Linked DNA regions of Nothobranchius furzeri. The protein of the gene in region 2 purifies or fractionates together with the protein of the main gene of each other region. This does not show direct contact. Links are inferred from orthologs where the notes say so. Each region holds a gene or a part of one and is shown on either strand. Other genes may lie near its edges.

The links.
Region 1: the proteins of kifbp (region 2) and kif14 purify together in Homo sapiens (affinity purification with mass spectrometry; 3 studies listed by BioGRID and IntAct, counting the BioPlex papers as one, with this or other methods). This does not show direct contact. The link is inferred for Nothobranchius furzeri from reciprocal best matches to the Homo sapiens genes KIFBP and KIF14.

The regions. Positions count from the first base shown.
Region 1 is NC_091748.1:63,552,356-63,556,170, reverse strand, and holds part of kif14 (kinesin-like protein KIF14), read left to right. Parts: coding exon 1-77; intron 78-251; coding exon 252-390; intron 391-1,010; coding exon 1,011-1,108; intron 1,109-3,815. UniProt on the Homo sapiens protein: Microtubule motor protein that binds to microtubules with high affinity through each tubulin heterodimer and has an ATPase activity. Plays a role in many processes like cell division, cytokinesis and also in cell proliferation and apoptosis.
Region 2 is NC_091749.1:53,758,363-53,762,776, forward strand, and holds the start of kifbp (KIF-binding protein), read left to right. Parts: upstream 1-1,576; 5' UTR 1,577-1,613; coding exon 1,614-2,075; intron 2,076-2,186; coding exon 2,187-2,285; intron 2,286-2,568; coding exon 2,569-2,648; intron 2,649-2,716; coding exon 2,717-2,775; intron 2,776-2,854; coding exon 2,855-2,979; intron 2,980-3,096; coding exon 3,097-3,190; intron 3,191-3,365; coding exon 3,366-3,478; intron 3,479-3,592; coding exon 3,593-3,742; intron 3,743-4,303; coding exon 4,304-4,378; intron 4,379-4,414. UniProt on the Homo sapiens protein: Activator of KIF1B plus-end-directed microtubule motor activity. Required for organization of axonal microtubules, and axonal outgrowth and maintenance during peripheral and central nervous system development.

The DNA.
Region 1 (3,815 bases), on a different chromosome or scaffold from region 2:
GCCATGAAACTGTCCCTGATGATTGAAGAGGCCAATAAGATCAGTGTTAAACTGAAGAAACACACGGTCTTCAGCAGGTGGGAGAGACGCTTACTAATGCACAAATAGAGGTTTTAGGTACTTCTGCACCACGTTCCTCATCGTCATCGAGATTTGTCTGTGTAGAAGCAACGTTTAGCCTTTTTTAAACAAGCATTGTTGTGACTTTCGTTCAGATGAGCCAACTATGGTGTCGCTTTCTTCTGTTTTAGATACGAGAGCTCAGATCGTGAGAACCCGGAGCAGCCGGTGCTGCAGGTGCGGGTTCAGAACACAAAGCTGGGGATCTCCACCTTCTGGAGTCTGGACAAGTTCCAGAACAACATGGCTGCCATGAGAGAGCTCGAGCAGGTTTGAGTTCAGCCGGCTTTATATTTCATCTCAGAACAGTGGTTAACCGTCGGGTCAGGGGTGGGGAATCCTGGTCCTCAAGGGCCTCTATCCAGCAGGTTTTAGTTGTTTTCCTGCTCCAACACACCTGATTCCTGGATGAATCACCTGTTCAGCACCTCATAAGACTCTGCAGCAGCCTGTTAATCACCAGTGCATTCAAGCCAGGTGTGTTTAAGCAGAGAAACAACTAAAACCTGCTGCATGGCGGCCCTCGAGGACCAGGACTGCCCACCCCTGTATTAGGTAGTTCATGTCTATAGTCTGTAGGAATGTGGAGCACACACATTAGAATGTAAGAGTTGACACAGAGCTGTGTAAACTTCATTTAGCCTGTGCTACACTGAGATCATGCATGATGTGTGTTGAGTAAGATAGACGGCGCCGCTCTTCCTCATTCTGCATATTCACACGACATCCGCTCCACTTAATTGCCAATTTCCCTGCCGTTTGACCTTATTTACAGTCCAGAACGACGTGTTTTATGCCCGGCAGAGGAACGCCGCCTCACTTTGCTGCGCTTTTCTCATTAAGTTGAGTCAGTGCGACTGGGCTTGTCAGCAGTACTTTACTCTCCACAGGGGGATCCCACCTCTAAAGATGACGATGTGTTTTACGACCCTGATGATGAGTGGGAGCAAGATATATCAGCCTCCTCCGCCTCCTTTTCCCGTCGAAGGTAATTATCCCGCTCGTCTCCTCATCCTTCAGCCCGTCTTTTAGTGGGTTTTATTTATGGGGCTTTTAAAACTTCTGCAGTTGCTTGGTATTCCTCGTCAGCTGTGTGAAACGAGGAAAGTCGTCAGAAACGTGAGAGCCGTTCTGATGAGTGTTATTTTTCTTCTGAATGAACTGTCCTCGTGTTCAGCTTTTTACTTCATGCGCAAGAAGAAACTAAAAAAGGACTTTAAATAGAAAACTTTAAAAGAATTTGGCTATTTTGACAAGGTCCTCTGGGTTCCCACAGTGCAATTTACAACCTGGCTCGTATTTAGGACCCTGAGCTGTTCTTTTTTTTTTTTTTATGCCTGCTGAATATTTTCCACCTTGTTGTATTTCCTCTGTTTATTCATCTCATGTTCACAAAAGCCAAAAAAGACATTTGGAAAGGCAATGAAAGGTCTCCGTTTCTCAGTTCACAGCTCTTAAACGGAACATGTGCACACACGCACGCACGCACGCACGGAAAACCTGTTGTGAATGCAGAAACTTTTCCTCTAACAGTTCCGTTGTTGTTCTTGGCGTGGACTCCTGCTGGTGCCCAGATCGGCACCAGATCCAGCCCAAATAAAACACGCTACAGTTTGTGGGCCTGTCATACTTTTCTTTTTTTCTTTGACCCCGTTAAACTAATGCACATGTACTTCACAACCATAATCACTGCTGTTTATTCTCCTCCCCACTTCTGGAATAATCCCTGTAAATTAACTTATGTTTTCCTGCAAATTTTCACAACAAACACACCTAATTTAATTTAAATCACCCTCACAGTTTTTAAAGCTCATTTTCCTGCTTTCACTGAATGAAAGAAATGCACTCTGTGACCAGCAGCGCCTGTGTTGTTTGTAAACAAAACAACTCCAGATGGATGCCATCTAGGATTCCACATAAGTGTGACTTTAAAAGGAGGAAATCTTGACTAACTGCAGTTTGAGCTGCAGGCTGTTAAGGTGATCTCTAGTATGAATGAATGCCTTGTGAAGCGATTTTTGGCGCTCCTGTTTTAGGAAGCAGAAGTTGGTTGGAGGCATGTCGGGGTGGAAAACACCCAAGATTACAAGCCGTACTCTTTGATACTGATATGCGAACGTCTGCCCTCTGATTGGTTAAAAGCAACTCTTATAAACATGAATGTATAGTCTGGCCACGACCCACAGACAGGTTTCAGTTGTGGGGTGGTTGTCTTTCAAACGGTCTCCACATGTTATTGGACAAAGAACTGTAAGGGAAAATGAGAGGTTCTTACATTTTAATTAATGAGCCGTAAGGCGTGGGATTCCATAGGAAGTATGAAATCCGCCTCACGGATCGGGGGTTATTTAAATCAGAAGGTCGGATCTTTTTAATGCATAGATTATGTAACCGTTATGTATTCACTCAGAGACGACAGAATAAAGAGTCAAGTTTAAAAGTTAAGAATTTTATTACTAACGATTAAACTAGGCTTATTTAACAACTAAGTGTGTAGTGTAACTAAAAATGGATGAGGCGGTGAATGGATGACGTGTCATGTAAATCAGAACCAGCAAATCCGAAGAAGCGATTAGTTCTGACGGGAACTGAAGATGTTGGTTTGGAATAAGCTTGGGTTAGTTTCAGAACCAGCATGAGACACCATCAAGTCGGTCTACCTGCCTTGTGGAAGTCCTCTGTAGATCAGGAATGCCGAGGCCCTATCGGACCCTCTCTGGAAACCGAGCCGGTAGAAGCAGCCGCGGTTTCGACCAGACCTGTCTCGAGTTACCTCCGGCACACAACTCTTTATTGGTGTCTGTTCAGACCCAGCCTGGGTCGGTGGAGCTTTTATTCTGAAAGGAGCTGTTGTGTGGTCGCTGGTTGTTATAGCGACTGGATTTTTCAGCTTGTCGAGGTTCTTTCGGTTGAAGAGTTAAAGGTCGGATTGGCCACTCCGACGCTTGCTCTGGAACGCTTTGAACTGGCGTTCGAGCTGACGTGGCGTAGTTTTATACCTCGGATGTTATGGTTTATTGTCGAATGAAAATTACCAAACACCGTCAGAAGCACGCCTCCGTCAGATCTGTAAGGTTCTGATTGGATCAGTGAAATAATGTGTCATGTCTTTTTAACACTACGTGAAATTAGTCCTGTTGGAACATTTAAAGTGACATTTCTTCATTTCTAAGATCATAATAAAATAATTAATATTTTAATTTCACAGATCGGTCACATCTTATTATTGACTAACACTTTGATGGATTAGCTTTATTAAAATAGAGTTCTTTGATTAATTAAAAGAAAAGAGTTCATTCTTCTTTCTTCTGTCTTCATGCTGGAATGTAAACAGTTTGGAAGCAAATGCATGACCTTGAGGCTGTTTCATGCACACTGACACTGTGTCAAAGGGAAACAGCTGTTGGGTAGAAATGGCTCCTTCATCACGTTACAGAACAATGTGATGTGCTCATCACTACGGATGTCAGTCAACGGGGCAGTCCACCATACACTGTCTGAAGAAGACACAAATACATCCTTTTTCTAAATAAAGGACTTAAGTACCTCTATCTGCTCTTGACTCAAAGAAAAGCCCAAGTCTAAATAGTTCAAAGGTGATGCCAAAGCCATTTCAAACAAACCACCACCATCTTTATTGTTCCACTCAATCCCAAACTTATAGCGCTGTGATTGGAAAGACGCAACACTGTCCA
Region 2 (4,414 bases):
GAATGGACCGTGCGCTGGAAGCAGCTGCCTGGATCGCTGTGCAACAATGCGGAACCGGTTCGCAGCAGCGCAAGTCTGCCGGCTCTCCCTCGCGCTGATCTGCGGCTCTCCCTCGCGCTGATCTGCCGGCTCTCCCTCGCGCTGATCTGCGGCTCTCCCTCGCGCTGATCTGCGGCTCTCCCTCGCGCTGATCTGACTTGCTCTGGTCTGCGCGCAACGGCGGGCGGGAAGGGGGGGCGCTTTTGGAAGAGTTGTGCGACACAACGAATCGATGACGCAATTCGTTGCCAACGCTTTTAGTAATCGATTTTCATCGAATTTATCGATTCGTTGTTGCAGCCCTAGTTGCAGTGACCCTGGAACATTTCAGCGGCCTTCCCGCAGTCCCGCCCAGGCTGGGAAAGGAGACAGAGTTGAGCTGCCATAGCGACGGCACATTCCATATATCTTCTGAGGGGGGAGTTTTCGTTGGAGCCTTGCAGGCTCAAGGGCTCCAGATTCCGATTAGAAATTGTTTTGGGGCTAGACAGAGATAACTTCCTCTCTGTCTTACAGTTTGTTGGTCCTCAAACTCTCAAAATCCCAATAATGGACATTAATCTATCCCAATCCGTGCTGATTCGTTCACTCTCTCCTTGATGGCACCCTTTTGTGCCAATGAAGGAATCTCGGCCAAAGTTCCAAGCTTACGATTCATCTCGACAATTATTTGAGTCTGTGAATTCACAGCGCGGTGCAAACCATCTCTGAGCTCCGGGATCAGGCCAATAATCCTCGACAGCTCGTTAATTTTCCGGTAAGCCAGGTAGCCTCCAAGATCAATGAGCAGGAAACCTGACACCAACACCACGAATACCCACACGTCTTCAGAGTCCTCCACAGACAGCTGAGATAAACAAATCAAGTTCCACTGTTTCCAGGAGTCCATGATGTGTCCAACTGGGTCTGTCCCAGCGGGGCATCCAGGAGCCCCTTCTCCTGTTCTCATCGTTGAAAAAACTTTATCAATCACGTTGAGAGACCAACTGACGAGATCCATTTAAGTGAATTTCAGTTTCCAGAAAAATGCAGAAGCAGCCATGCACCCAGCACACACAGACAGACAGAGGGCCTTGAGGATAACATATGGAGGAGAGGAGGAAAAAAAGCGTCTGCACCCTCCAAGAGCCGGAAGAAGAATGTTCTAGAATGTCCTAACGTTTTAGGGCACCTCTTAGCCAATAGCGATGGCAGATTTAAATTCAAATGTAGTGCAGTTTTTACCTGACAATGACACAACACTGACAGTTTCAGGCAGAAATTTTAAATTTTAACTAAAATGCACTAAAGTGCTAAACTATTGACTACATGTGCCTGCAGCGCGATTACATACACATTTATATAGTTTATCAGAAAAAAAGTTGATTTGGGGTGACTTGCTCTTTAACGATTTTGGGGGAGAAAAATAAAATCTAAATAAACTCTTGTTTTGGTATTCTTTATAATAAAACGTAGAATTTTCACAGGTTTAGAAAAAAGTAACCGTTTTGTTTGAGGTCATTTGATTGTAGAGACCAGATTCGTCCAGCAGGCGGCAGTAATGCAACAATAAAAGGACCCAGAAGAAAACAAACATGGCGTCCTTCCATAGTGATGAGTGGAGAGCTATATGCGACAAATTCAACAACGCCCAAAATCTCACCGAAGTAGAATCTAGAAATGACCCAGAGAACGACCCGTTCCGTTCCAAGTACAAAGCCCGGGAACTTCTCAGAGAAATCTATTGTTCACTGAAGAGTTTAGAAGCTGGTGACGGTGAGCAGGACGCCGACGGCGGAGAGAGCGGGGACCAGCTACCGACGGAGCAGCCGGTGGACGACCAAAAGGAGGAGGGTGTCTTCTCTCGGGGCTTCAGCGGTGACTCCCCAGCGGGGAAGCGAGTGGCCAAGCTCGGAGCTGTGGAATATTTTCTGGGCGTCAACCATGTGGACACGGAGGAGCTGTCAGCCGGGCAGGAGCATCTGATGAACTGCATGAAGCTGCTGGAGAGATGCGGGGTGTCGTCGGAGAATGTGTCGCTGTTCATTAATGTCAGGGTAACGAACGATGACGTTTCATCTGGTTTAGTAATGGCGGAGTTGGCATCATTTCAGGTGTGTGAGTACATAAGCTGATGGTGTGTGTGTGTTTGCTCTCCGTTCCGTCAGAACCAGCTGGGCATCCTCTGGGCTGGCCGAGATGAGACCGAGATGGCTCAAGAGTACCTGGAAAAAGCGGAGTCCATCTACCAGCGTTACATGAAGGAGGTCAGTTAGGTTTTCTGAGCAGCTGCTGGTGCACTCACTCAAACTGTAGCTGATCCAGAACTGTTTTTATTTGGACATTTCATTTGCAGCACGCTTGTTCATCAGGACCACATTGCTCTGTTCCTGTTCTGTCATCACGCTTCTCACGACCCTTTCTGTGTATTTTACGCGGCCAATGAGTCTCGTATATATAATATATAATCACAAACACTGCAGTTGAAATTTTATGAGGTCAAATCCTCCCCAACATCTGGGATTGTTGTGTTTTCTGTGCCTCGTGAAGGATGGGACTCCTCCCACCGACATGACGGAGTACTTTAGTGCAGAGGAGAACCTGCTGACACACCAGGAAAGGATCAAGAGGTAATTTCTGAACCCCAGCTTCCATAAGCATGCTCTGCACGTTTTAAATTATATTTCTCTTCCACCAGGTTCGAGCTGGCCTACACCCACACCATGTACTACCTCGCTCAAGTGTATACAAACCTCGGTGAGTGTGTGTGGCTGAAGTTCTCGTTACCGGGTAGTTTAGATTACATATGGATGTTTCACCATCGTTTGTCTCTCAGGTCAGAAAGAGCGTGCTGCCACCTACTGCCACTGCACCCTGCAGAGACAGTTACAGTTAAACCAGTTCAACCCGATGGAGTGGGCTCTGAATGCAGCTGCGCTGTCTCAGTATTACATCCCAAAGGTACCACTTGGGTGCAACGGGAAATTGTTGACTTATGAGTTAAAATCTCAAAGGATGTTGATTCTTCTGTTGTAAACTTTAGTAAGCGTCTCGCATTTGTGCTGGTGTTCTTCTCAGGGCCGATACATGGAGGGCAGGCATTGCCTTGCAGCAGCTACTGTTGTTTCAGGTTTGGCTGGAGAGGTTCCGTCTGAGGCCGTAGCTCAGGAAAGTAAGAGCCCTCTCATGAAAACATTTTATTTAAACGCCTGTCCCAGAGTCGAGTAAACCGGCGTAGTTTTCACCTCTCCTTGCTTCACCTTGCTTCACCCTGTTCCTCTAGACTTGTTTATCATTCCTCTCTTTGGTCACTGGCACATCCGATCGTCTCTTTCTGTCCGACTCAGGTGAGGCGGAGAGCGAGCGCAGAGAACAGCTCAGACAGAAGAGAGCAGAGATGGCGAGATGTTGGATTAAATATTGTCTAAATCTCCTACAGGATGCTAAGAAACTCCTGGAGGTACTGTTTGTGCCTGTTAACGAAAACCAGAGAAACGGAATAAATTCCTCTAACTGTCAGATCTTCACGCTGGTTTTTAAGTCTTGTATGAAAGTCTTGTGGGTGTTCGTGCAGGACAACATCGGTGAGCTGGATACGGATCGTCAGGATGAGCTGAGGAGAGCGAGACGACGACAGGAGGAGGAGGAAGAAAAAGGGAGGAAGAGTGCTCTGCTGTTTGGCTCTGAAGACACTTTTGATTCTATTGCAAGTGTGGAAGAAAAGGTCTGAGTCACCCGAGTTCAAACTTTATGTTGGTTATTGTGTGGGTCTTTGTTTTATGAGGTCATAAAGCTTTGTTTACATTTTCTTTAAATGCACACACACACACACACACACACACACACTGCGTTAATGTAGTAAAGAAACATGGAGTGGATTAAGTTAATCTCACAATTATGATTTTGTATTTAAAAAATATTACACAAAAAGTGTGTAAAATTCAAGCATGCATGATAGAAGAAATGAGATGTTCGTATCAAGAAATTAAGAGTCAGAAGATGTCGGATATCTGTAAGATAACAAAAGGCCAATGTCGAGCAACCCTAGTAGCTTTGTCATTTTTATTTTTGTCAAATTCCTTCATTTCACTGTGCATTATGTTTTGTTTGTTTTTTTCATTATATAAGTTTGAATGTTTAATATAATAAGAGAATCTTAAAAACTATTAATGAGGACTTTGGGTGCCTTGTCAGTAGGGGGCGCTATTCTATAGATTTTATTAAGTCACTTTGCTGACTGCTTTTTTGTGTTTTTGGTTTGTTTTGCGTCCTCCGTCTCTTACAGGTCATGTGTTTGCTACCTCTGGACTTCACGGAGGCCAGATCGGTTTTTCTGGTGGGACAGAATTATGTCACGCAGGTACGCACAGCAGGAAACCGTCTCTGTTTAATTGAC